Linked DNA regions of Tribolium castaneum. The protein of the gene in region 3 purifies or fractionates together with the protein of the main gene of each other region. This does not show direct contact. Links are inferred from orthologs where the notes say so. Each region holds a gene or a part of one and is shown on either strand. Other genes may lie near its edges.

Evidence for each region.
Region 1: the proteins of BAG family molecular chaperone regulator 2 (region 3) and erythroid differentiation-related factor 1 purify together in Homo sapiens (affinity purification with mass spectrometry; 3 studies listed by BioGRID and IntAct, with this or other methods). This does not show direct contact. The link is inferred for Tribolium castaneum from reciprocal best matches to the Homo sapiens genes BAG2 and EDRF1.
Region 2: the proteins of BAG family molecular chaperone regulator 2 (region 3) and Stip1 purify together in Homo sapiens (affinity purification with mass spectrometry; 3 studies listed by BioGRID and IntAct, with this or other methods). This does not show direct contact. The link is inferred for Tribolium castaneum from reciprocal best matches to the Homo sapiens genes BAG2 and STIP1.
Region 4: the proteins of BAG family molecular chaperone regulator 2 (region 3) and Bx42 purify together in Homo sapiens (affinity purification with mass spectrometry; 3 studies listed by BioGRID and IntAct, with this or other methods). This does not show direct contact. The link is inferred for Tribolium castaneum from reciprocal best matches to the Homo sapiens genes BAG2 and SNW1.
Region 5: the proteins of BAG family molecular chaperone regulator 2 (region 3) and mrj purify together in Homo sapiens (affinity purification with mass spectrometry; 4 studies listed by BioGRID and IntAct, with this or other methods). This does not show direct contact. The link is inferred for Tribolium castaneum from reciprocal best matches to the Homo sapiens genes BAG2 and DNAJB6.
Region 6: the proteins of BAG family molecular chaperone regulator 2 (region 3) and interferon regulatory factor 2-binding protein 2 purify together in Homo sapiens (affinity purification with mass spectrometry; 3 studies listed by BioGRID and IntAct, with this or other methods). This does not show direct contact. The link is inferred for Tribolium castaneum from reciprocal best matches to the Homo sapiens genes BAG2 and IRF2BP2.
Region 7: the proteins of BAG family molecular chaperone regulator 2 (region 3) and Tpr2 purify together in Homo sapiens (affinity purification with mass spectrometry; 7 studies listed by BioGRID and IntAct, with this or other methods). This does not show direct contact. The link is inferred for Tribolium castaneum from reciprocal best matches to the Homo sapiens genes BAG2 and DNAJC7.

What each region holds. Positions count from the first base shown.
Region 1 is NC_087397.1:550,043-554,336, forward strand, and holds the start of erythroid differentiation-related factor 1, read left to right. Parts: upstream 1-1,494; 5' UTR 1,495-1,650; intron 1,651-1,820; 5' UTR 1,821-1,833; coding exon 1,834-2,036; intron 2,037-2,080; coding exon 2,081-2,592; intron 2,593-2,651; coding exon 2,652-4,294. Other genes in the region: mus301 (helicase POLQ-like), read right to left, coding at 1-836, 973-1,086, 1,128-1,167. UniProt on the Homo sapiens protein: Transcription factor involved in erythroid differentiation. Involved in transcriptional activation of the globin gene.
Region 2 is NC_087395.1:1,458,302-1,462,318, forward strand, and holds the start of Stip1 (stress-induced-phosphoprotein 1), read right to left. Parts: upstream 2,801-4,017; 5' UTR 2,703-2,800; coding exon 2,694-2,702; intron 2,643-2,693; coding exon 1,565-2,642; intron 1-1,564. UniProt on the Homo sapiens protein: Acts as a co-chaperone for HSP90AA1. Mediates the association of the molecular chaperones HSPA8/HSC70 and HSP90.
Region 3 is NC_087396.1:11,144,974-11,147,903, reverse strand, and holds BAG family molecular chaperone regulator 2, read left to right. Parts: upstream 1-1,312; 5' UTR 1,313-1,494; coding exon 1,495-1,528; intron 1,529-1,604; coding exon 1,605-1,829; intron 1,830-1,876; coding exon 1,877-2,226; 3' UTR 2,227-2,430; downstream 2,431-2,930. Other genes in the region: hop (tyrosine-protein kinase hopscotch), read left to right, coding at 1-289, 344-513, 559-741, 790-925; beta-mannosidase, read right to left, coding at 2,435-2,689, 2,738-2,930. UniProt on the Homo sapiens protein: Co-chaperone for HSP70 and HSC70 chaperone proteins. Acts as a nucleotide-exchange factor (NEF) promoting the release of ADP from the HSP70 and HSC70 proteins thereby triggering client/substrate protein release.
Region 4 is NC_087397.1:9,848,808-9,852,705, forward strand, and holds Bx42 (puff-specific protein Bx42), read right to left. Parts: upstream 2,654-3,898; 5' UTR 2,346-2,653; coding exon 2,332-2,345; intron 2,280-2,331; coding exon 2,116-2,279; intron 1,973-2,115; coding exon 549-1,972; 3' UTR 501-548; downstream 1-500. Other genes in the region: ATP-binding cassette sub-family F member 1, read left to right, coding at 1-71, 340-490; qm (terpene synthase), read right to left, coding at 3,860-3,898. UniProt on the Homo sapiens protein: Involved in pre-mRNA splicing as component of the spliceosome. As a component of the minor spliceosome, involved in the splicing of U12-type introns in pre-mRNAs.
Region 5 is NC_087395.1:20,017,595-20,020,623, reverse strand, and holds the end of mrj (dnaJ homolog subfamily B member 6), read right to left. Parts: intron 1,737-3,029; coding exon 1,554-1,736; intron 1,507-1,553; coding exon 1,242-1,506; intron 1,192-1,241; coding exon 1,092-1,191; 3' UTR 501-1,091; downstream 1-500. UniProt on the Homo sapiens protein: Has a stimulatory effect on the ATPase activity of HSP70 in a dose-dependent and time-dependent manner and hence acts as a co-chaperone of HSP70. Plays an indispensable role in the organization of KRT8/KRT18 filaments.
Region 6 is NC_087402.1:6,594,834-6,599,005, forward strand, and holds the start of interferon regulatory factor 2-binding protein 2, read right to left. Parts: upstream 2,801-4,172; 5' UTR 2,679-2,800; coding exon 1,859-2,678; intron 1-1,858. UniProt on the Homo sapiens protein: Acts as a transcriptional corepressor in a IRF2-dependent manner; this repression is not mediated by histone deacetylase activities. Represses the NFAT1-dependent transactivation of NFAT-responsive promoters.
Region 7 is NC_087398.1:7,331,344-7,335,402, forward strand, and holds the start of Tpr2 (dnaJ homolog subfamily C member 7), read right to left. Parts: upstream 2,801-4,059; coding exon 2,667-2,800; intron 2,351-2,666; exon of another isoform or gene 2,239-2,350; coding exon of another isoform or gene 2,213-2,238; intron 696-2,212; coding exon 1-695. Other genes in the region: uncharacterized protein LOC103313090, read left to right, coding at 2,863-3,124, 3,171-3,397, 3,444-3,671; mRpL10 (large ribosomal subunit protein uL10m), read right to left, coding at 3,687-3,880, 3,929-4,059. UniProt on the Homo sapiens protein: Acts as a co-chaperone regulating the molecular chaperones HSP70 and HSP90 in folding of steroid receptors, such as the glucocorticoid receptor and the progesterone receptor.

The DNA.
Region 1 (4,294 bases), on a different chromosome or scaffold from region 3:
CAATTCATCAATGCCTTTGTACATTTTAATCAACTCTTTAACCCTCAAAGGCAAGCCGTAGAAAGGCCCAACTTCGGTAAACGTACCATTTTCTTCCCCAATCGTCTCACTTTTGGCTTTTTTCACCGGTATTACGTCTTTAGTAATGTTTGATAAAAGCACTTGCTTTAAGGCCGTAGCAAAACTCGCATTAATTCCAGACATTGTAATATCATTCTCATTCTCATTATTTTTATCCGATTCTTGTTCCACTTTTTGCGTCCCGAAAAGTCCTTCCAAAATTTTCGAAATGTCTTTATCGACAGACTCAACATCTGAGCCCATTACGCTGACCGAATGTTCGATTTGGTCGAAAAATGACTCCAATTCGTCGCGATTATTTTCATTTAAAACGTCTCCCAAATTCTCGCTTATTTTTGCACCCCAATTTTTCTCGCGCAAAATTGTGCTGTTCGTGTTACTCTCACTTATTATGGTCTCAATCTGGTTCAAGGCTTGACTGTTCTCAAACAGTTGAGTTAATTGAGTCAGTAATGGTTTTTTTGGTGATTCGTTTGGGTCATTTTTTGATCTGAGAGACAGTGGTGTTTTTTGTGAAGCATCAACAACTTTATGTAAGGAATTGTCGCTGGCTGAGCGCGTTGAAAGTGCCGTACTTTTATTAGTTTTATCATTTAGTAGCTGAGTTAGATCAATATTATCAAATAAATCGTCATCAAGTGAACATTCCTCCAGTTTGCATTTCTTATCAGCGGCTATTTTTGCCTCGTTAGACAACCTTTTTTTAGTCCCGGTTTTGCAACCACTATGATTTTCCGGAGGTTTCTCACTTTGTACTGTAAAAAAATTATTCATGATGTATAATTGGTTGCACAATCGGTAGAAAAAATTATTGAAATTATTTTATCAATTAGAGGCGCTAATTCCATAATATAGACAAACGTAGAAACGCGTTGGGATATTAGTTATTACCTTTTTTATTTTTTGAAAGCGAGAGCACAGAGAACTTTTGACTTTTGTTTTGGGATAATTGTCCTCGGGGTGCTTGAGGAACTAGGAACTCTTCATTGTTGGGCTCTGTAGAAACTAAAATGACTATTATGGTAATCTGAATACAAATACAAAACCTGGAGGTATTCTTTTGTGGGGTTGCTTCAAGCTGTTCATTTTATCACCCTGAATATTAACCAATAACACTTTCACAAAATTAGTAATTTATCAAATTGCACCTCTATTGCTACATTTATCTATTTTATTTAAACCATTTAAATATAAAATATTAAACACAAAACTGCAAATAAAACAAATTTTCGAAATATAACTTTTGACAGACAAATCTTGAACTTGACAATTGTTTCTTTTGCGCCGAGACGAACACGAGCCAATCACTGTAATTAATGCTACATGCTACAATGCTACTTTTGTAGTAGCATTGGGTTAGTAGATATTGTATCGTCTTTAAATTTTATTTATTTCAATAAATATTAATCATTAATTATTTAATCAGACTTTGGCGCTTGCTCGAATTCGCGCAATGTCAAACTGTAAATGTCAAAGAAATTTTAAAAGTCGTTCACAAAAATTCAACCTTGCTAAATATCCAAAAACGGGAAGATTATAAACACTCAACACATCCGTGCATTACATTAGGTATGTGTGGTTACAATTAACACGAATTCGTTGTAAATTACATATTTGAGCCAAGAGGTGGAATGTTCTAGAACTGATCATCGGTGGTGTTCTAGCACTTCAGAGTGGTTCAAGTGGTTGTGTATTTCCCTTGTGATCCTTATGGTCAACCAGTTGCATTTTAATTACAGTAACCCGCCCATTATGGAAAATGAAGATAGTGAAACGGCCGACAGTGAGGAGGTCAAGTCACGGGCCGTTGTGAAGTATTCCGTTCCAAAACCGGCCCAATTCATTCGATTAAAATGTAACACCGACTTAAACCTACCCCCTTCAAATTGGTTGAGTAGTTCGGCCGATTCTTACGGCTTACAGCACGTTCTCTACCACCAGAAGGGATTTTCAAGGTTAGCTCTTGTCTTAAATTGTTCACTTGAGAAGTTTTCTATAGTTTCAGAATGGCCCACATGTTCCCTGACTGTGTGGGAGAAGTAGATGTGGTTTCGGATGCGGAAAACATAAAAAACCTGCTTAAAATACCCTACTGCAAAAACCACATCAGTATGATGGTTCACAGAGTTGAAAACACTCTCCTACTTGATGATTTTGATATTTACAAACATTTATTGAGAACCTCCGAAACTGAATGGAAGTGGCTCAAAGAGTTCTTTTTCGAAAATGTCAACCATGAGACTTACGAAGAGGACAAGAATATGTACATTAAAAATCGAAGACGGGAAACCTTACAACAGAAAAGTCTAGTTTCGAAATTTCTGTATCATAGTTTGGCCGAAGGTGATACTAATGAAAATACGTGTTATGAGGACCCGAAAACCCTTCCTGTACCTTTACACGGACCCCAATTGCCTGAACCTGTCTCCGCAACACCCGATCCCAAGCCCTTTGATCACAATTACAACAGAAATGTTGTTTGGACTTTTGAGGACATTGAAATGTTAATAGGTACGGTATTTTTGTAATTTTGCATTTTCCTTGAATCAAATTTTTTTATATTTTTCCAGGTACGGATTTACCGATATTCGGTGGTGGCACCCACCCTTGCATCTCACTCCGTCTTCGAGACGTCAGTAAACCAATCAACGTGCTAACAGGCATCGATTATTGGCTAGACAATTTAATGTCAAACGTTCCCGAAGTCGTAATGTGTTACCACTTGAACGGCATCGTCCAAAAATACGAACTTATCAAAACCGAAGACTTACCCCGCTTAGATAATTCAAAATTTTCCCCTAAATTAATTCGAGACGTTGCTCAAAGCATTTTATCGTTTCTTAAGTCAAACGCGACCAAAGCCGGCCACACTTATTGGCTATTCAAGGGAAAAGACGAAGAGGTTGTGAAATTATACGACTTGACCTCACTTTGCTCAGAGAAAGATGTGGAAAATGGTCAAAATCCCTTCACTATACCTGTGGGTATGTTATTATACCGAGTAGCGCGTAATATGAAACATACATCGGATCGGCAACCCGGAACAATCCGGATGTTGCTTAAAAACTGTGTTAAGTTGCTACCGGAGGAAAAATACCCAGAAGTGGTCACGTCCTCGCACTATATGTTGGCCGATTTGTACGTCCCGGCAGGGACCAATCCCGAAGCGCCTGGTTTAGAGCAGGAAGTGGACGAAAATGATGAGTTTGACGATGACGATTTGATCGACGATAAAGACGATAAAGCTACGAAAATTCTCGTCTTGGATCAGAGTGATTCTAGGGAGAAATTTGTTAATTATTACAAGTCGCCACCGCCGATTACGGGAACTGTGGAAGAGCGGTGTCTACAAGCTGTACAGCATGTGGCAACCGGGCTTAATTGCTTGCAATACTTCCAACAACACCAAACTAGTGCTAGTGGTAAAAAAACAGCCGAAGAGGAGGAAGTTCCTGTTGCCAAGCCTTTTGAACCGATTCCAATGCCGTACGGGAAGCTTGATTCAAATGATGGTCAAAAGAAACAAAAAAAGAAAGACAAAAAAAAGAAGAACGAGAAAAAGAGTGAAAATGCCCTACTTTTGAAAAACAACACTCAGCCTTTGCCGACTTGGCAAAACGGGACGGGAAATATCTCATGGAAGGACCATCTCAAGACTTTACTTTATGAAAAAGCGGTCTTGGTTTATGCAATTTTGTCGGAACAACATTTCGGTGGCCGAAATTACGGTAACAGTTTGAGGACGATTGGTTTGTTGGCTAGATGTCAGTTGGTGATGAACCGCCTCCTTTACAATTCCAACGCCTTGAAGGAGAATTGTTTGCTGGGCAGAGCCGGCGATTGTTGCATTATGATGATCCAAAACTGGGATAAAGTCGATAGTTACCGCCAGCAATTCCAAAACAATTCCGAGGAAGATTTAAAATTGATGGAACAGCTCGAAAAAGACGAGCAATTGTACAACATCCACATCGGCGAGTCGAACATGAAGTGCGTTTTCATTTACGATATTCGCACAATCGAGCAAATTCTTCTCAAAGGTGTGGAGTGTTACGAAGTGGCGTTAAAATCAAGCGAAAATGATAGTATTTTACGGCGGTTGGGTAACGGTTTAAATGAAGTCGCCTCGTTTTATTTGAATAAAGCCAAGTCGGCTAAAACGAGCGATCTTACTGTGGAAATGTGCAAAAAAGCTGAACCGTACTTAACGAGA
Region 2 (4,017 bases), on a different chromosome or scaffold from region 3:
TTCGCAATTTTAACTAAGGAGCAATAGAAATGATTTTCTAATTTTAAAACCAAGCGTTCTAATAATTTGTTCAAAAAATTTTTAATTTCTTTTTTAAAATGTTCTAATAAATAAATTTTTAATTAAATGATCCGCGTTTATCCGAATTTAATCGATTTTTCTTACAAATTGGAAGTGACAGGAGAAGAAAAAATAAAAACCGTTTGGATAAAATAAAGATATTTGTTCTTGTAATCAAGTGTCAAATAGCCATCGGGTTGGCAATACCATAATTAGTATTTTTTGGGTTTAAGATTGGTACATTTTTTTAATTTAAATTTGCTATTTTATGTTTATTTTTTTAATTTACGGGCAGGAAAAGTTTGATGTAAATTTATTAATTACACAACACTTTTCTTAAGAAAAATTTGCCAAGAATTACGTAATAAAAAAAATATATACAACTAAAAAGCAACAAAAATCGGCCAAAAATGCAGATAAATTGTTAAATCGCTTTTTTTTTTAATTTAAAACCAAGCGTTTAAAGGTTTGGGCAAATTTCTAAATTCCTGGTGGTAATTTCTAAAATAAAATTTAAGAATGTTCTAATATACAAAATTTTAATTTCATAATTCGAGTTTATCAGAATTTAAATGGTTTTTCTTACAAATTTGTAACAACAGCTAAAGAAAACATAAAAACCTTTTAGATAAAATAAAAACTATTTGCTCTTGCAATTAAGATTGGCACATTTGTTTTATTTAAAATTTGCTACTTTGTGATTTTTTTTAATTACATTCAGAGAAAAATTTGATCTAAATTTGTTAATTACATAACCACTTTTTCTTAAGTAAAATTAGTCAAGAATTACGTAATTTTACAAAAAATATATATAACTAAGAAGCAATAGAAATCGGTAAAAAGTGAAGAAATTGTTAAATCATTTTCTAGTTTTTGGTGACAATTTCTAAAATAAAATCAAAAAATGTTCTAATAATTAGAATTTTAATTAAATAGTTCGCGTTTATATGAACTTGCAATGATTTTTCTTACGAATTCGAAATGACAGCTGAAGAAAAAATAAAAACCGATAAAAAAAGGGCCGTATGAATAAAATTAAGTAAAAGCTTTTACTTCAAATTTTGCAAGTAAATGCTCTAAATTGTATGAATAAAAATGTAAGTATTAACTGTTTCAAAACTATAAAAACGCCAACGTCGCATTTTCTTTAAAAACTAACTGTCATAAATTATTCATGCACTTCAAAAAGTTAATAGATAATGTAATTTGTGGATTCAATGACAAATTATTAATAATTACTTTACAGTTTTATCAACCTTATTTTTAAAAATAATTTAGTAAAATGCGAGGTTGGTGTTTTTATAGTTTTGAAACAGCTAATAGATGTTTCTTTATTTAAAATTTTTGGTAATTGAGTAAACTTTTTTATTACTTTGAAATTCGTGTTTTTATTTAAAAATTGATCATTTTAACAAGGAACCTGAGCATGTTCACTTGCTCAATAAATAGAGCCACACATTATGCAATTTTACCAACTTGTTTTCCATCGAAAATTAAAACTTACCAATTTCCTTCTCTTTTTCAGCTAATTCTGGATTAACATAAGCTTTCCGTTCCTCTTCTTTGATAATCTTCTCAACATCGGACAACAGAGTTTTAATTTCAGGCGTCCTATGTTCGGACATTGACTTTTCGTAATAAATTTTCGCATTTTGATAATCCTTTAGTCTCTTATACGCATTCCCAATCCTAAGAAACGACTTTGCAATTAATTTAAAATCGGCTCTATTCTCCCTCCCTATATCAATAGCCCTCTCGCACTCCTTAATACATCGATCGTAATCCTTCTGTTCGAAAAAAACCGCCGCCAAATTATTATAAAACGTGATATCGGTGGGATCGTGTTCAATCGCCTGATTATAAAACTCGATCGCTTTTTCAAAATTCTTCTTTTTGTAAAATTCATTCCCTTGTTCCTTCGCCGCTTTCGCCAGTTTCTTGTTCTCGGGTAAGTCCGGCTCGGGTTCTTTCTTCGGTTCGGGCTTCTTCGGTGGCGTGTACACCGGTTCGGTCTCCATCGGTTCTTCCCCCGGATCGATTCCAATCAAGACACTCAACGTGGTCAAAATATTGGGGTCTTGTAGTTTCTGGCCGAGGAGATTGGGGTTTGTTTTGAGCATGTGGAGCGTCGCGACGTAGTTGGGGTCATCGAGCAGGGGCTTGGTCCGGGGGTCCCCGCGAAGCTTCTCCATGAGGTCAGGTCGGTTGAAAGGATTGGGGAACCCCTTGGCTGTTTTCTGGGCTTTGACCTCCTGCAGCCCCTCCTGGAGCTGGGGGTTGGCGGGCTCGATCTGCAAGCCGCGCTCGTACGTGGCGATGGCCTCGTCCAGGCGCCCCAGGTAGGCCAAGGCAGCCCCCTTCCGCGAGTAGCCCTTGGCCCAGTCGGGCTTCAGTTCGACCGTTTTGTTGGCGTCTTCGAGAGCCGATTCGTGGTTGTTGGCTTTGGCAAAGGCGGCGGAACGGTTGGAGTACAGGACGTGGTTCGAGGGGTCGAGTTTGATGGCTTCGGTGTAGTGTTTGATTGCCTCTTCGAACTTGTTGGCGGCCAGTGCGGCATTGCCTTTGTCTTTCAAAGCGGCGACCTAAACGAAACATCGTAAAAGGATTTTTGCATTAAATAAATGTGTACTTACTTGTTCCATTTTGACCGGCACTTAATAATCACAAAAACACGTTTCTCGACGATTCTTATTCGAGAAGTTTCCAGTCATTGAAGATTCCCCCACCACACGATCTGTCAAAAGGGATATATTTTTTGACATTTTCAGACAATTTATTAATTAATCAAGCGTAACATTGTTTCAATTACATTATTCTACTAGTGAAAGAACGTACATAACGGTAATTTCATTGAAAATAGTTTTTTAATCAAAATTAAAAAAATAGTGTATTGTTGGTTGCCTGTCTCGGTACACGATAGTTCTGTTATTGTCACCAGAGTGCGCAGTTTTCAGAAAAAATAAAAACAAGGCAAACAAAATTAAATATAGGCAGATAGAGCATTAAGGCTAAAGAGGACAATAGAGTTAAACCCAATGTGCGATAAATAGCCCAATCAAATTAGACAAAAATGGTGGAAAAACTCCTAGAGAGTAATTTTTTTAAAAGCTTCCTTTACATTTCGTCAGACATATACCAAAAGTCCCCGAAGATGGGGGGGCAAGCTCGAGGAAAGGGAGGGGTTCAAACTGTTTTTTTTGTTTTTTTTTGCTTATATCTCGAAAACGGTCACCCCTAGCAATTTTTATCTTCTTATCAAAATTAAAGTAGATAAAATTTCCTACAAAATGGTCCTAGCCTTATTGTTGTATGACTAACCGTAAGCGAGCTACTAGCTTTTGAAGTTTGGTATCAACATGACATTGTATAACTAAACATTAGTATACCATAAGTATTTATACAGGATCACTGAAATATGGATACAGTTAAATATTATAAAAACTATTAATCAAAATTTATTAAAATTGGGCATATGCTTAAGAGTATATAAATTGTATCGTTTCAGATGTTTATTAAATTTATATTTCCATTTGTTCTTCGGATACAAGGATAACTTGATTTTTTTGAATAACAACAAGGGTCAAATTAATATTTTTGAAAAGAGCATTTTTTCTGAGTTCTATGGTATAACACATGTATACCTTAATTTAATCGAACCTTAAAAAAATTGAAAATTTTGAAAAACGTAAAATTTTATTAGCCTTGGAAATGTTGTCTTTATCTCTCGTTAGCTCATTAACCAAAAAATAAGCAAAAGTTAAAAATAATTGTTAAAATATCACTATTAATTGAAAAAGAACACGTTTTAATTAAGAAATTTTAAATACGGAATACTTGATTTTTATGGTACATAGTAAAAAAAATTTTTGTATTAAAGTTATTGATAAATAACTAATTTTAGATAAATGATATGTGGCAACGTTGTCTAACAGCCATGATCGCAATAGAATTTGAGCA
Region 3 (2,930 bases):
AACTTTGGAATATCCCGGAAATCCTGAAATTGAACCGAGAATCGTGGCAATCAAAAAACTGAAATCGTCAACTGTGTCTGCGTGTTTGCAAGACTTCGAACGGGAAATTAACATTATGAAGACTTTGCAGCACCGGAATATTGTTGAAATTTTGGGGGTTTCCCGGGAACCGGATATTTCCCTAGTCATGGAGTTCGTCCATCATGGCTCTTTGCAGAGTTATTTGAAAATCAATCGAGAGTCGTTGCAAATTAAACAGTTGTTGAAATTCGCGCTTGACATTGCTGAGGTTTGTGGCCTTATTATTTAACCAACTTATCAAATAACATTTTTTATTGACTAGGGAATGAATTATTTGGGCAAGAAAAACATCGTCCATCGGGACTTAGCCACCCGGAATATTTTGGTAGCTGACGAAAACCACGTCAAAATCTCCGACTTTGGCTTAGCGCAAGTCATTGGCACTAATGACTATTACATCTTGAAAACAAACCGGGAATTGCCGATTAAATGGTAATTAGCGAAAAATCACGACTTGAATTACTTTGGTCTTGTTAGGTACGCGCCTGAAAGTTTACGAGACGGCAAGTTTTCCGTGCGTTCCGACGTTTGGTCGTACGGTGTCACAATGTGCGAAATGTTCAACTGGGGCGAAGAGCCGAAATTGTCGAATCTGGGAGAGGAGGAAGTCAGAGGTCAAGAGCAGCAAGTTCTCTTGAACGCCTTGGAGAGCGGGGCCAGGTATTGGTCCGTTGCTGACTTCGTTGGTTTTATCGTTGCCTTTTATAGATTTCCGTGTCCTCCAATGTGCCCACAAGCTGTCTATATACGGATTATATATCCGTGTTGGCACGCGGACCCCCACGAGCGGCCCGCGTTTAGCGTCCTCGTCCAGGAAACGCAAGACCTGCTAACGCAGTATTGAGTGATATTCAGTGCCCATGCAAGGGTGAGCACAGGAAAGAGCACCACTTTGTATAATCTTTTGTATTAAGTTATTCACAAACGCCTATTTAAGATCAAGTGTTAGATTTTAGTTTAAATAAGTACCTGTCGTTTTTATTATTTGCTCAATTTATTTGGAACAAGCACTTCTCGTGCCATTTCTCAGTGCAATCAACTTGTAAATATGTATATTCTATATTTTAAAATAAATGTTAATTTAAGGTTTTTTGCATCATTTCGCTGGACCATTTGTCTCTTTGAACAAATGGCCATTCGGTTTAAAAAAATGCGTTAAAAGCCGCGAATTAATAGCGATAAACATTGAATAATGGTAATGAAAGTACAATTAAGCAGATTTATGGTGTTTTGGGGCGTTTTTTATTGTATTGATTGCGTTTTTCGAGGCGGTTTCGAACTAGTGGGACTAAGGAGTAATGGAACTTTCTAGATTTTGAATCAAATGACCAATGAGTTGTTCCTGTGCTGAATCAAATTGATTTAAAATTATTAGATAAACTGGCGTCAACCAGCAACGATAGCTGCAACAGAATGGACATAGATCCATCTCCGAGTACTTCATCCGGTAATAAATCCTTCTTATCAATATGTTTTTAGGTTATGTCAAAATTTTTGTGTTTGACTAACAGCCCGAGTTTCAGGCTTCTTAATGGATCTGACGTACTCAGGATTGCCAAGGATCGATGAAAACAACACCGTGGATCCCAAATCGCCCAAAGAGCGGGTTTTAGAACTGTTAGATATCTTAGAAAGTCATGTTGAGAAGTTGCGGAGGGAAGCGGCGCAGTTGGAGGAGGACCGGGACCACTTGTTGTCATCCCTGGACTCGGTTAGAAACACTGATTTAATAGTCGACTTACCGGATAGTAAGTATACCAAAAGTAAAAGTCGTTCGTAATTAATTATTTGTAAGATGATAGGGATGATGTTTGCCAGTACGCTGAGCGCATCATGAGCCGCTGCCTCACGGTGGAAGTGAAGATTTTAACTCAGCGTGATAAGATGCAAGAAGAAGCCTTGCACCAAGTGAATCATTTGATAGACAGTCTTGTAATGTGTGTGAAATCGGATCCTGAAAGTGCAAAAGCTAGATGTATAACCTTCATGAATGCTTGTTCTTCGAATGTGGTGCACGGGATCACGGATAAAAAGTTCGAATCGGCTTTGTTAGGATGTACCGTTGACGACCAAAAACGGGTAAAGAAACGGCTTCAAGGTTTGTTAAATTACTTTGATAAACTTAATGTAACTTCGATTCCATAAACTTACTTAATAGTGCGTTGTTATTGATTGTGGCCCGCTTATTGCCATTATATACACATTAAATCGTTAGTATTTAACCAATTGAGTTGTCTTCATTACGGCTTTAATACAACACAGTCGTGTTAACTTAAAATAGCCACTGTGATTGTTTAAAAGACACTTTATTTATAATTGATGAATTAAATAAAATTATTAATTCATGTATTACTTATTTCCGTGAAATAAAATACTTAGGGTCTCTTAGATGAGTCACTGTAAGCGCTTGTTTCAAATCTTCGCTTGTTGTTGGTGAATCTGCTATAAAAGTGACTGTTGTAACAAGAGAGTGTTGAATAAAACCGTTTTCAAGAAAGTGGCCTTTAATATCGTGCGGGTCCAACCAAACGAAAAGACTAGGGGCGTCGGCTTTCACCCACACGTGGAAGCGCAAGCCTTTCGCGTCAATCATATCAACTGAAATAATCTAAAACAAAGCTAAAGCTCTTATCGGTTAATCCCCCGGAAAAATTACCTCAACATTGGAGTTTTTAAGTTTAGCTTCCTTAAATTTTGAAGGGAAAAAGTAATTAGACGGGGTCAAAACTGTGCCGTCTTTCCCACCAACAATATGCACAAAGCAGTTGTATTTTGCTACATCTGCAGCGCCACACCCGGAATCGGACAAAAATTGGTCCACATCGTATGATGCAACTAGTCTTGCCACC
Region 4 (3,898 bases), on a different chromosome or scaffold from region 3:
GCACTAGCTGAGGCCATTAACGACTTCAGTGGAGGGGTTATTATAGTGAGCCACGACGAACGACTTATACGGTAAGAGCAAATAAATGTACTCTTTCTTTTCTTTTTTCGCCTCCCTTTATAGAAATTTTATATTTTTCGTCCTAATTTCAGGCTGCGAAGTATGCGTTTACCAGCACTATTAGAAGTGAATTTAATTTTTAATTTGCATTAGCTACTTAATTTGTTCGTTAATTTAAATTAAGATGAAATTCCATCGAGTTTTTGTAACAATTTCGGCTCGACCATAAAACTCAATTTTATTGTTTTGTGTAAAAAAAAATTACTAATTTTGTTACAGTGAAACTGATTGCGCCTTGTACGTAATAGAAGACCAGACCATAAACGAATTAGACGGCGACTTCGACGACTACCGCAAAGAGCTCTTGGAGAGTCTGGGTGAAGTCATCAACAGCCCAAGTATTGCAGCAAACGCTGCCATTGCTCAATAATACAACAAAAAATTTCTACAATTGTATTTATTTAAAAAACCCAAATACAATCAATATTTTAATCTCTTCTCTTTCGCTTATCCCTCTCATCCCTCCTCTCCGGTTCCTTGCGTTTGCTCGCCCGTTTAGCCTGACTCAAGAACTGATCTAACCCGAACGGATCTTCCTCTTTCTCAAATTGTACAGGTCCAGACCTTGGCGCATTCCGATCAGTTCCACTAAACTCCTTATCCGGAACAAATCGGTTCGTTTTGACGATTTTCTCCAAATCTTCACCGTATACCTCCTTATCCACATTCCTACTAGGTCTGTACAAGTGATTGGCCATTGAGCCCCCCTCCCTCCACGGCTTATCATAAACATTATACGCGTCATCGTCCCCATATCCATGCCCCAAACCTTGAGCCTGTCCGAATAATCTCTGATCAAACTGCACCTCGTTTGAGGAGACTCCTCTGGCAGGCATCCCCAAAGCAATCTGCTCGGAAATATCTCGCTCTCGCTCCCTCTTCAACTTTGAACGCTTATCGGGAGCAGCCCTTGCCAAGTTTCTCTCTCTTGCTCGCTCCTTATGCCGGTCCTGTCTCAGCATTTCTCTCTCACGTTCCTCCTCATCTGTGATTTTAGCATCAGCGACTTTGATCCCAGCACGTTCATCTCGAGCTTTTTGAGCCAACTGTCTCAAATGCTCCTCCTTTTGTTCCTTTTCCTTCTGAGCTAGTTTTTTCTCGAGTTGGGCGCGTGTTTCCACAGCCTCTCGTGCTTTTCTATCGGCAATATATAGAGCCTCAGCCAACTTTGCGAAATTCTCGTTGATGTGCAACTGTTGCAACCCCCGACCATCTGCAGCTAAACGCTTATCTAACGGAACTGTGTAACCCTTTGCATTTTTCCAATTTGAAATACAGGGCGGGATTTTCCACTCCTTTTGCTCCTTAACAGTGACACGACGTGTGGGGCTGTGCAAAACGGGCGCTGGGGGCGAAGGGGGCCCCCTTGGGATCTTCTTATTGATCTTGAAACGTGGGGGCTCCATTGGATCAACTTGTGCTTCGACCAAACGAATGACGCGCTGTTTGGCACCCGAGTTGAAGGCGGCCCCTTGTTGTGAAGGGGTGTAACGAATAAATTCAGCGGGGCCTTGTTTTTCGGCACATCTGACTGGCATTGCAGCTGCGATTTTTGAATTTGTTAGGCGTTGTAATGCTTGACGGGTTTTTTCTGTGATATCTTCGATTTCCTCCTGAGATGGTTTAGCAAGACTTGGGTCATTTTCTGTGGTTACTTCAACTGGTAACAAATCGGAGAGTTTTGAATAGACGATTTTGTCTTTGCCGTGGCCTTGACGTGCGATTACGTCGTATTTGACTTTGCCTTCTGCGTCCAATTGGACGGCCAAGGCGTTTGAAGTTGATTCTTTGCCCTTTCGCCCCATGTCAAGAGGGTACTGGGCCACGTGGATTTCGGGAAATGCGCCTCCATCTATAAATTGCAATAAAATCAGTGATAGTGAAAACTTTTCGACGTCCTTGACTGATTATTTGTAATAAAATTTAATAGGACCAATCAAAAAAGTTGGTCCCATCGTAGTTAAATTTAATTACAAAAAATCGGTGGCTAATTACCTCCATAGTCGGTGTGGACTCGTGGGACCCAACCCCTTCTTTGTCCATACGGTGGGGCAATGCTTTGGGCTGTTACAACAGATGTGGAACGTTGAGTTGTGGCATTCTGTTGCCGTCTCTCGTCGTCCCGATCCCATACGGGTTGTATGGGGGCGGGCAATAAACTACAAAATAAATGCGTCTTACTCTACAAGCCCAAAAGTGAGGTTAGGTTACCTGGATAATTCCATTTCTTTTCCTAAATCAGCAAAAACTTGACAATAGCGTAAAATATTCACACTGCACTCATTAATGTAAGTTTTTATTGTTTTACTTCACTAGTAAATCGGAAAATATGTAAAAATCGATTGCACAACAGTGGCTTTCGGGAAAACAATTTCCGCAAAATCTTGATATTATATTATCGCTGTGCGATATTCAAAGCAATTTGTACTTAAAAAACGCAACTAAGTAATGGATTATTGTGTGTAATTCTGTTTTATAAATACACCCAAATTAACGCCACTACTAAAACGTCAAATAGACGGAATGATTTGTAGAGGGCGCGGTTGAGCATAGATTGTTTGTTCCGAAGTTCTATAAGTTCGAAAATACAGACTGATCCAGAAATACTGAGTCTGTTGGCAACACATTTGAAAGTGTTTGTGCTTGTAATTTGTAACATTGCAACCGAATTCGATTTTTCTTGACAACTATTTGACGTACAACCCCACAAGAATGTTAAATTGTTGTTAACTGGAAGCGTATTCCATTAGTATCCTTAAAAATTTAAGTCCAGTGTCGCCAACAGACTCAGTATTTCTGGATCAGTCTGTATTTTTAACGTGAGGGTATCCCCAAAAAAAAAGATGCACAACCACTCACAGACTTTTAGCTACTAGTTACTTCAACAAGCAGACCCTTTACTTACGTAGAATAAACAAAAAACAATAAATTTTTTAATATTTTTCCAAAAATTTAGAAAAACATTCATGTATCGTGCGGTTGCCATTGATAATTGGCAATAATTGGTGGTGTTTGTGAACTTCTAATTTTGAAAATGTACTTCTCCAACATATAAATAAGTGCCTTAGAGCACTAAAGTGAAATTTGAATTTTGGAACTAACACCATAACACACTGTAATTTTTAACCGCTGTAGAACTGTGTCTAGCACTAAATTGAACTAAAAACACTAAAACATATTCAACCGAAGGCTGTTTACTATTGAAATTCGCGCTTTTTTGGTGTTGGTACTTCTGTTACACTGTTACGTTGGTAGTGCTGCAATATCGGCGCGCCTTTTAGCACCTGTCATGTTTTGTAGTTTAGCATTATTTTTGTTTAACGCTGTTTTAGTGTTTAGTTTGTGTATTAGTAAGGATTTATGGTGTTAGTGGGTTTGTTTCTCGTTATTTAAAGACAATCTTATTCAGAGGAGGAACATTTGCAGGAATATTTCCACCCTTCTTTGGTAAGTGCACATTTTAGTTGAGTATTAATTATAGCTTTAATTTAAACATTTTGACGCTTCAAAAGGTGAAATAAAGCATTCTTATGCAGAAATTGTAAGGTGCGGTACTAATTTTAGTAACGTTTTTTGACTAACTATTCAGTACTCAGAGAAAGAAAATTAGTCTTAGCACAGACAGTACACGGTGTCTGTTTGCTCCATAATAACAAAAAAAAGGAACAATCGATGAAATAGTGTTTATTGTAGCAACTTAATATAGATATCACAATAATTTAATTTGATCATGAAAAAATTATTCCAACTTAAAAATATACTCCATTACTTCGGCCAT
Region 5 (3,029 bases), on a different chromosome or scaffold from region 3:
TAAACAATTTACCAAATTAAAGTGTGTCTGCATTCCCTAAATACCGAATTAGTTATCAGTTATCAATCAATCAAACAGACGATAAAAAACAACTTTAACTAAATCTTAAATATTGATATTTCCAAAACCATTGAATGAATAGACCTGATGTTTTCACTAAAAAATTATTATCTATAGACTTCTAAAGGCAATAAGTACAAGAACGTGGTGAAATTTTTAATATTACCACTCTGGTTTTCTACATTTCGAAATTCTAACAAGAGTAGTTAATTTTCGACAGCGATATGTTTAGAGAAACACGATTTTTTGAAACGTAATATTTTTACACAAAAAATCAACAATTCGAAAAACTCGGCACTACTAATAAACGAAGTTGTAAACTGTAGATAGCCAATTCGGATGGACACAGTGGTGTTCTATTGGACTGTAAAGGTCCCATTTGGGTGAGAACTCTGTTTTCCAGCTGTCTGTTTTGGTGGGATTAAAATAAAAAATGCGGAAATCGTTTATATTATATTTTTTCTAACACTGTGACTGTACATCTCTAAGCACACATTAATAGTATAATCATTTGTGTACTTAACAGTAATAGTAAGTGCTTGGGAAAAAACTAGCAAATTAATATTAAATTAAAATTAAAACGTTGCATAATACAAAATATCTCTTCCATGTTAATTCCTCCTTTGAATCAAGCTTAATAAAAAATGAGCAGTCTTGGCAAAAACAAAACGAAAACCGAACTTTTTCACATGACAAAAATGTAACTAGTAACTAAACAACTCATCCTGAGCACCTCTCGTTCAAGAGCGTCATCAATTCCTATCTCTAGCTAACCTAAACTGCAATGATGTAAAAACCTCCTCGATTCTTACATCATCATAACATCTTATTAAAAATTAAGATACTACAAAAATTCTGAAAACAGAATCATAATATTTTATTGTACAACTGAATAAAAAAAACTTGAAACCAGTTGCAAGAAGTCTTTAATACACACACTGACAATTTGGCAACACTGCGTGGCCAGAAATCGATCAACATCAAGATCACATAAATTGTAGATTCTTCTAATTTTGTAAGTAGCAGTGTGTTTAACTGTACGTCAGACTCTGAGGAACCCCATTCACAGTCTTCGATTTGAGGATATCGTTCTCGTACGTCATCACCGTCTCTCTCCCGTTCTCGTACACCCTGAAACCGCAAAATCACCTTCAAAATACCACCAAAAATCCACTACTCACTTCTTCGTGGTGATTTTCTTCCCGTTGGCGAAGCGCGTCGACGTTGACGTCCTCTTGACGTTGGCCGTGCCCCCCGCCCCGTTTGTAAACGTACTATTTATGGTGCTGAAGGAGGTGAATCCCCCATGGCCCGTATTGAAAAACTCGTCCATGAAACTACCCCCCAGACTCACCCCGAACGGGCTGAACAGACTCGAACTGAGAGCATTCTGTGGATGTGAATGTCTGTTCCGTCGCCGGTCTCTATGCCCGTGATCGTGAAAATCTACGACTCAAACTTAACAAAAAATACAAAACAATCTTAGGACGTACCTCCAAACAAGTCGGCAAGAGTAGAACCCCCGAAAAACTCCCTGAAAACGTCCTCCGGATCTCTGAAAGTGAAGAAACCGAAACCGCCAAAGTCGAATTCGTCATCGTGGCGGCTGCGACTACGACTACCGCCGTTGATGAGCCCTTCTTTACCGTACTGGTCGTACATACGACGTTTCTTATCTAGAAAAAAATGCCACAATGAATGGGGGCTACAACAAGGAGAAAAAGCTAACAGACGAGTCCTCAGAATCGTTGTGGACCTGCTCTAAGAGGGTAAAAAAGAGGCTAGAGTTAGAAAAACCGCAGATTTTAGTCGGAAAATGCCAAAATTAGTCATTTTAGTAGTACAGGCCGGAATTTTAAAGCAAATGTGCAAATTCATTACAAATTATACACTCTCTAAGAAAATCGAGGGGAGCTTAAACATTGATGTAATTAACTGAGTACGATATGAAAAAAAAAACGCAAAAAAAGGGCAAGAGAGAAGTAAATGTATACAGATTTGGGAAAAGCACGGACCCAAGCGGCCTACTTATCAAGGTATCTTACCAAAAAAATCGCGGTAGTAGGGTGCCATTTAAAATTGTTTTTTAATAACTCGAAAACTAAAAATAATTTCGAAAAATTTTATTCTTGAAAAATGATCACATTTTTAAAGTAGTTGATGAAGGACTAAGAAGTTGTTTTTTCCATAAGGTACGTACATAGTTAAGGCACAAAACGCTCGGTTCAAGTCTGTATTTTTGTAATTAGTTATTATACTGAATTTCGTAAAGTGTCAAATTTATTTAAAAGCTAAGGCTCATGAAAAGTCAACTTATTTAAATTTAATAATTTCTTTCCTATATTTTTCTTGTATCTTTCACCATATTCGCAACGTTTTGAAAAGTTTGAGACAGAAGCAACTTTAATTTTTTTTCTCATGTTTTTTATGAAAATTTTGGTCAACTTACTCGTATTAAGAATTTGATGCCCAATGTTCCTGCCTTTTTTTCCAAGTAATTAGTGAACTAGTTGAATTTAAACCAATTTAACACAAGCTTTCGCGGCTAGTACCAAATAAAGAATTGGGTTAGACCGCGTTAATTTGAAACCCAGCGTCGACGTTTCACCCGCTCTTCAGGAGGGGCATCTTCAGGACAATGTCGACACTGATTTCCAAATTAAAACAGGTCTAACCCAAAAAAACCTAGATCTTTAAAACAATTTAAATTCGAAACCCGAAGCTTTTGAGCACAGAAAATTGACTTATTTTTGATCTTGTTTCTCCTCCAATTATTATCCAGCTGTCTATTAGTTTAAAAGCATTGGCAACTTAAGTAACAGTTTTGTCTCAAATTATAGTGCTAGAACTGCTTATTACCTTTACTTATACAATAACGAAAACCGATTTTCTATATCCGCGCTTTAAGTTAAATTATTTCAATTTCAATTATGTCGTCATAACCGCCTCACGAGTATTTAGTCCAATTT
Region 6 (4,172 bases), on a different chromosome or scaffold from region 3:
AGACGGTACAGGTGTTTGATACCGTTCCTTCAAGACTATTATCTATTTCCTCACGAGACAGATGGCCAGGAAGGAAATGCGACCATCTGTCCGTGAAAGAACAGAGGATTTCTTTCACAAGGACAACGGACTGTTTAACCTAATTATTGTGGATAGACCCGCATATACCTGGGACAGATGGGACGTGTAATATCTATGCGCTGTTACATTTACATAACAAGATTAAGGCGCATCACGTGACGAGTATATTATTAAAACTCGTTTTATTTACTATGGACATGCGAACAGGTGTGTTGCAATGCATCGTATTCTAATTATCGACATGCAAACCTGTCTTTTCCGATCTAATAACTTCAGAAACTCGAAACTTGGCAAGAATTTTTCTTGTGGGAAGCACACAAAGAGTAATAAAAAAAAACATAACGACAGAATGAACAAAACACCAATTGTTACGCCAATTTGAGATAACAGAGTTTATTTATTAAGAACAATGAGCAATTAAAAGCCCCACGTTTTATTATGTCCGACCTGATTTAAAGCAATTGATTTGACATAAAACTGAAATCGGTTAGGTCACCCCCTAATGAATTTGAAATGTCACTCGTCGTTTTATTCCGATTTTAATTAACAAAAACAAAGGCATGATTCACGTCTTTATCGCGAATTAACATTACAAACGAATCAAACCCACGTCGAAAGACGGGTTTCGTTTCTTTTCTGCAATCGACAGATGCAACTCGAGGGTTGATCCGTGGGAAACTAACCAAGGTCACTCCGAACGCTAGACTGGTTTATACCATACGGCCGTTCTTGCAGCAATTATTATTTATCGAACAGGTCTCGTCGTGTGTGGTAGGCATCAGTAATGAACTCTATTGTGAGAAACCGATCGATTTTATTAAATTTCCATGTCGCAGGTAAGCATACACATATTGTTGCTCGTCCAGTTACCACACGAACCGAGAAAAATTTGCAATTTAACTGTTGTAGCCTATTGCTGCGTTTAATTTAACGGATTCTACTTAATATTGTTCCTATAAGTAATGGCTTCATCCCAGTTATCATTTACCCGTGAAAGGGTAACTGGGACTGCAGTCTACCAGGAAATGGGAACGCATATGAGCTAGGTAATCTAGCGCCTTGGCCGAGGTTCCCACCGGTACCACCCGAGGGTAAAAAAAGAAATCCGATCGGTGTCAGAAACGCAACGGTAAACAGAGAAAAGGGGGCCAAGTGAGCCGGAGCTAGGCCAGGTAAACATCCATTAAAAGCATCTTATCTTCTGGGAATGCCTCGTTTGTGAAAGCCGATGTAGTGACGTAGTCAGGTATAAGAACCGGTCGTACGAGACAGACCGACAACCGGTCTTGTGCGTGTAGCTCTCGACTACAACCCAAGATCCGTAATCCATTTGGCTCGTTGACTGCTTTTTTACGTCACAAGGTTGACTCTGCGACTAGTGAAAGCGTGTGCAGTGTGCACACACACACAGACGCCAAACTTTTGCACAATGGAATTTCGAAATTCGAAGCCGTTCACCTTTCTTATCACTGGACGAAAAAGGGGCTCGGTTTATTTTTATGACCGAGCGGACGTGTCAACATGCAGCTAGCTATAGCGCTGCTTTCCAAAATAAACATTACGTAGGCAACGCATAGAATCGGGATCACGACGGATGGAACGCGTTCCCCTTTAAGCCCAACGTTTTGAATGTCAAACGCTTCCCCAGGTTTGTTTTCGAAAAGCGGCCGATTTATGTTGATGTGTAGCGTCATCGTTACGTGTACAGAATAGCGTGACGTCACGCGAGTCTCCTTTTTGGAAGGAGTTAACCACCTCATAATAGATTGATCCTCACCATTGGGTTTGAAGGCGGTGGCGGTGTCGAACGAAGCCGTCCTGAGAGGATGTTTCTCCTGCTTGAAGGTCCTCTCCGTCGAAACGACGAACGGTTGCGCCAGCGAAACCGCCGGAAGTGATTCGCCTCTAGTCAGCGGAGGTCGAACCGCATTGCTGTGCTCCTCCACCGACATCATCCTCTTAGCTCCATTCATATCGCCGTTGGCGTGATGCAAGCCGTGATGATCATCATCATCAGCGGCGGACAAGCCCCGTTTCAAGCCCTGCTGCGGCAATCCGGGCCTGCCATTGGCCGAATGGTGATGACTCTGGAGTTGGTGATGGGCCAAGTGCGTGGCTGTGGGCAGCCTGACCGTAGGTCGTGCAACTAACGCCTCAGGCTCCTGTGTGGTCTCCATCTGTTGCGGTCTGGGTATGGCCGTTCCGCGGGGCGGCAGCGGCTGCTGCTGGGCTTGGTAGTCCGCCAACATCCCGGAACGCGGATGGTGCAAGCTGTACGTTCCCGAATGGTGCGTGGCGGGTTGTTGTCGGCTGGACGTCGCCACCACTTCGCCGTTCTGGTGCTCATGGCTGGAGGCGGCCGTCCGGTGGCTCTTATGCGAAGCTGAGCGCTGCTCTTGGAAGCCATGGGCTCGTTTCATCTGCCGTGCCGTCTCCAGGACGATCTCGATCCTGTCGGCGCCTTCGTAGTTGACGCACCCTCGACAGACGGGCTCGGAGAAGTCATGGACCATGGCCCACGGCATCCTGGGCAGGTCGCACAAGTAGCAATGCTGACGTTTCGCCTGCTGCATCTGCATGACCGACATCTTCACCATCTAATGATTATTTCCGTCACTGCTTTTTGCGGAACAAACTACTGTCACTACGGACACTACGACATAGTCGCGGACACACTCTGAGCACATCCAAACACTGCTGCTGCGCTAGAACTAACTGAACCCGACGATCAACGCAACGACAACGGTAACGGGGCCAGGGGAGAGACACTCGACTGGCTCGGTAATCGTTAGCTTGATGACGTCACGAGGCACTGAACACCAATAGCAATAAGGTCTACGTCACAGTTTGCGCGCGCTGCATTCGACGACTGCTGGCTGGAATAAATCCCATCCGAAATGAAAGAACAGCAGAACCAACAAGAGTCACTTCACTTGACTACAACGTAAATTAACAAAAATAACAGAATCACGCTTGGCCGACCAACCTGTCTCCGACGGGAGGTCGGACAGTCGACTTGACCTGAATTCCGCGCTGCGTCTATTCAAAAACTGACACCTTCTTATCAACCCTTAACCATCGCCAAGTCACATCCTTTAAGCAAATGACGCACTCCTTAACCTTTCGTGCCATTTTCACAGGACACAAGCACGCAAACGCACAATTCGTGCTTCCCTTCGAACGTTCCTCATTTTTACCCCGTTCTAGTTATTAGCCTAGGTCACGAATTTACTATTCGATACTTCGTTCATGTAAAAATAACACCGTCGCCGCCAACATTCTAAACAATTATTACTACCTAAGGAGTAGAAATAATAACTTGCTTTATACTATAAGAACACGAACTTAACAAAAAATTAAAATTTTCACACAATAAAAAATATCAAGTTGAAGTAAAATGAACATAAAATGTTCGCTTCTTAATTTTTTAGATTGTTTATCATCATCATTGGAAGTTTCTTGAAATAATGGTTGAACAAATTGTAGAAAAACACTTTTAGTAGTAGCAAAAAATCACTGCCCTTTTAGTGTTTGATGAAGATTATTTTATATTTGTATTTTATTTATTGAAGAACGATTAGTCATAATTTCGAAGAATTACATTCAGTAGCCCACACAAAAATATGTTCAATGGAACTATGTTTTATAGGCGAAATGTCTACAGTCAGTGTCGATTTATTTAATTATTTATTTTTAATTTTAAGAATTCTAATATGTAAAAATAAAGCAAAATACAAAGAAAATCGTTGAACAAAAAATCGAGACATTATTATTAACTAAAGTGATTACAACATATTTCAAAATAGCGTTGGTCTTTAGTAAATACCGCTTTAAATACTGATTTCTCCTTAAATATCACGGTGTTTTCTAACGTATATCTACGATTTTCGTTAATTTTTGTTAAATCATAATACGTCACAATATAAACGGAAGCACATTTTGGATTAAGTCCCAAAGCTACGACAAAGCTATGTTTACAAAATATCATGTCGAATTTTGAAAAATCGTCGGTGCAAATAAATAGATAGCAAGCCTCTCGATATTCGATCAGCGATAGCGTAAATATATCCAGAATTCAACAAAATATGTTT
Region 7 (4,059 bases), on a different chromosome or scaffold from region 3:
TCTTTTTGAGTTCTTTAGCTCTCTTGTAGATGTCCATAGCCTTTTTGTGGTCGGGTGCAAGTCGCAAGACTTGCTGGAAGTGGTTAAAGGCGCTGTCCAAATTATCTTCGTAATAAAGACACATTCCCCGTACGTAAATCGCATCAGCGTTTGTTTTGTCCAAATGCAAGGCCGTGTTGGCGATTTCTTGCGACTCCTGGTATCGTCCCAAGAAAGCCAAACATTCGGCTTTCATTATTTTGTAACGTGTGCAAGTTGGCGCTTCATCCAAACACCTATCCATGCAGTAAACAACTTTTCGGAAGTCTTTCTTTTCCATTGCTTTTGCTGCCTCTGTTTCGAACTGTCTCAGTTTTTCGAACGAACGAGTTTCATTGTTGATGTTGGCGTTCTTGTCAAGCAGATTGATCTGTTTGATGGCATTTTCTGCTGTTGTAAGGTCGCCAAGGGCTATAGCGCATTTCAATATTCGAATGTAGCCTTTGCTGAATGCGGGATCGATGGTTATGGATTTGCGTGCATCCTCCAATGCTTCTTGAAAGTTGTTCAACATCATGTAACATGCCGAGCGGTTCGAGTAATAGGCGGCGGTTTCGGGGCATAGTTCGATGGCTTCGGTGTAGAGATTGAGGGCAGATCGGTATTGCTTGACTTTGTATAATTGATTGCCATTTTCTTTTTTCAATTCGGCAAGCCTGAAACAAGCACGGCTTTCACAGGAACAACGCAACTTAAGTGTGACCAGAATGAGTGAAAATTGCCTTTTAATGGAGTGAATCACGCTATGAAGACAGAAAATTATAGGAAAGAACTGGGGAAAAAACGAATATTAACAATGATATAACGGAAGTTCACATAACTACCAACTTATCAAATTTAATAAGAATTTGGCTGAGTAACTAACGATGTTAACAACCTATTAAAAACAATTAAAAATAACGACCCAAACAAACATAAAAAGCTTACTCTACTGTAAACTTTTTCTCTCATTTTCTTCTGTCCGTTTTAGTTTGGTAGTAGTTTGCCATAAGACAAAGAATAAAATATTATTTTACCTAGTGCGGGGTCTGAATACAAAATATCTTAAATAATTAAGTAGGATAGAAAGGACTTGAGGCATTAGGAAAAAAGTTAAAGCTGAAATACGAAGAACTATAACTTAGGAGACGAAACGAGATACAAAATCGTACGATTTTCTGAACCCAAAAAAATAGTACGGTATTCGTTTTCAATTAATTTAAATCCAACCAATTGAATAATTACTTGGAGATTTCCATAAGAAACATGAGAAAAAAATATTTTTTAAAGATAAATTAAATGGGAAATTTTATCAGTTTTAATTTTGGTAAGAAGATAAAAGTTGATAGGAGTAACCGTTTCCGAGACAAAAAAAAAACAAAAAATACTTCTTTAACCCCCTCCCCCTCCTCAAGCTCACTCCCCACCCTCGGGAACTTTTGATATAATTCTACCCAAGTGTAAAGAATGCTTTAAAAAAATCCAACTCTCTAAGAATTTCTTTGTTTAATTTAACTGGGCTAATTCACTAATCTCCGAGACAAGGAGCAACAAACAATATTGCAGAAACAATATCTACACGTGAACCAGTAAATGACCTACCTACCAATATTACCCTAATTTCATGCGATTTGAAACGATACTTCATTAGAAGAAAATATTAACTTTTGTTTTTCTAATTTAGTAAATATTTAATCAATGAATTGATCTGATTTTCATTCGTGACTAAGCAAAAATATAGAACAAACTAGCCAATTAACATGCTAAACTGTGAAAATTTAAGGGCCATAAATCGTTGTTACTATAGCAACAACCAATAAAATTGCTAGATTTCTGATTTTAGGGTGGATTAAATTTTAACAGCCCTTTAAAACTTATAGCATGGACCTCAAAGTCGTAATATTCTGACGAAATAAAAACCTTAGTGGATAAAAATTCGTTACACATCCAGATTAGGGTTTTTTGAATTGGGTTCTCTTCAACTTTGATCACAATCATAGTCACAAATAGAGTTTGTAAATAAATCACATTGTTTTTATCTTATCAAAAACCAACACTCGTGTGGTCAATGTTTATTCCTTCGGTAGGTTACATTTGTCGTTAATAAACAACAAAGATAATCCAATTTAAAAGTGAGAACCTTACAGTTCTTATGCCCATTTATGAGGTAAACAAATTCAAAAACAACACTCACATATTGTGGCAATCCTCAACTTCCATGGTCTTTCTCGTTACAAATTGGTAAAAACCGCGAAAGTGTCACAGTGACAAGTTAGGAGAAATAATGCAAAGGCCATAAAATCCACGTTATAAATAAAATAACTGTCCAAACAAAAGGTTAAATTGTTAATTTGCACGCCGGACCAAATATAAACACTGAACTGTGGAGGAGTGAACCAGTAATTACAAAGGTGTACGACCTTAGATTAAAAATAACCCACGGAAATCGTTAAGACTGCACAAATCAAATTTAAAATCGCACCAAGTGGTTCACTGAAATAACCGAATCAATAGCAATTAATTGTGGGAAATTGCAGTAACAAATGTGAGTCAGTGACACTCGTGTCATCGACATTTCGACGTGAAACCCCACGAAAGCAGTGCTCAAAATCGAGGAATAAATCTAATTGTTGTAAAATAGCACTTACTCGGCTGGATTTTTTGGAATTATCAAATCTTCAGAGTCCATAACAACATCTTCCCCAAAATCTGCCATCTTGCACAAGTTGTGAAACGAGTAAGACCGATTCATCACCGAATTCAAAATTCGTACTGTGGGCATGCGCACTAGCTAATTTGTGACCAATCGATAAATTTTCACCAACGCGGGAATTTTGAAACGAAATGAATGGAAATGCGTTTGACAGTATCGCCTTCAACGCCAACAAATACGAAATCGACATTAAAAACTACTTCGTAACGCGCCAAGAGGACGACAGTACTCAGAGCGACACTTCGGACTCACAAACGGACCAGTACTTGGCCTGTAAAGGAGTTAAACTGCCAACTGCGGAACCACACATTTGCACCTGGGATTATTTAACAAAACCTGAAGTGATCCACTTGATGGGCATTAAGAGTAAACGACTCAAGAGGAATTTCATTGGTAGTAATATTACAATCGTTTAAAATTTGCCAAGTTTTCGTTGCAGAGGGAAAATTGCACAAAAAGCCCAAGGGACTTCCCCGGATCATATTCAGGGAGTTGATGTACTCTGTGACTAAATTCTGCACGTCTGCCAGTTACACCGTGGAACAAACTGGGGCCTTGTTGTCACAGTTCTACCTAACTCATTTATTTTTCACCAGTGTTTTGGATGTTGGTCCTGAAAAATTGTACGAGTATTTTAAAGGACTGCAAATGTGTCATTCTCTACCAGTAAGTGATGGGGGTCAAGTGTGGGTAAAAACTGTATTATTTTTAGTTCCCACCACATAGTATCAAATTGTTTAATTTGGAACAAATTAAGAACAATATGGTTTATTTCTGTAAACTATATCTTAGAAACCTGCCCTTGGTCAGGTTCTTGTGTTTGCCCAATTTTTCCCTATGTGCCCAACACCGCGTACAACCAGACGTCGCTCCACGTAAAAAAGGGAAGAAAAAAGGGAAAGGCAAAAAGGGTAAAAAAGCAAAAAGAAATGATCTATGAAATACATTTATTGAGCTATTCTAATTGTTTTATTCTTTGTTCGAGTTGTGAAACAAGGGTGCTTTGATGTTGGTTCAACTGCTGATGTATTGTAGTGGCTGCACTGTTGAGTGTTTGGACCAAAGCTGCTTGAGCTGTTTGCAAGTTTGGTATTTTTTCCAGTTCAATTAATTCGTCTTTACTCACAAATTTGCCCTCAAATATGGCAGCTAAAGGCATAATTAATTAAAAATAACAAAAACTGGATTATACAATACCTAGTAAGACAAGCTGGGGAAACCTTTTCGTGATTTTTAGCAATTTCTTTACTTCCGGTTGCGGACTAAAGACCATAATGTTTTGCGAGACGTAAAAATCCAAAACCGGTTCAAATTTCGTATCCTTGACT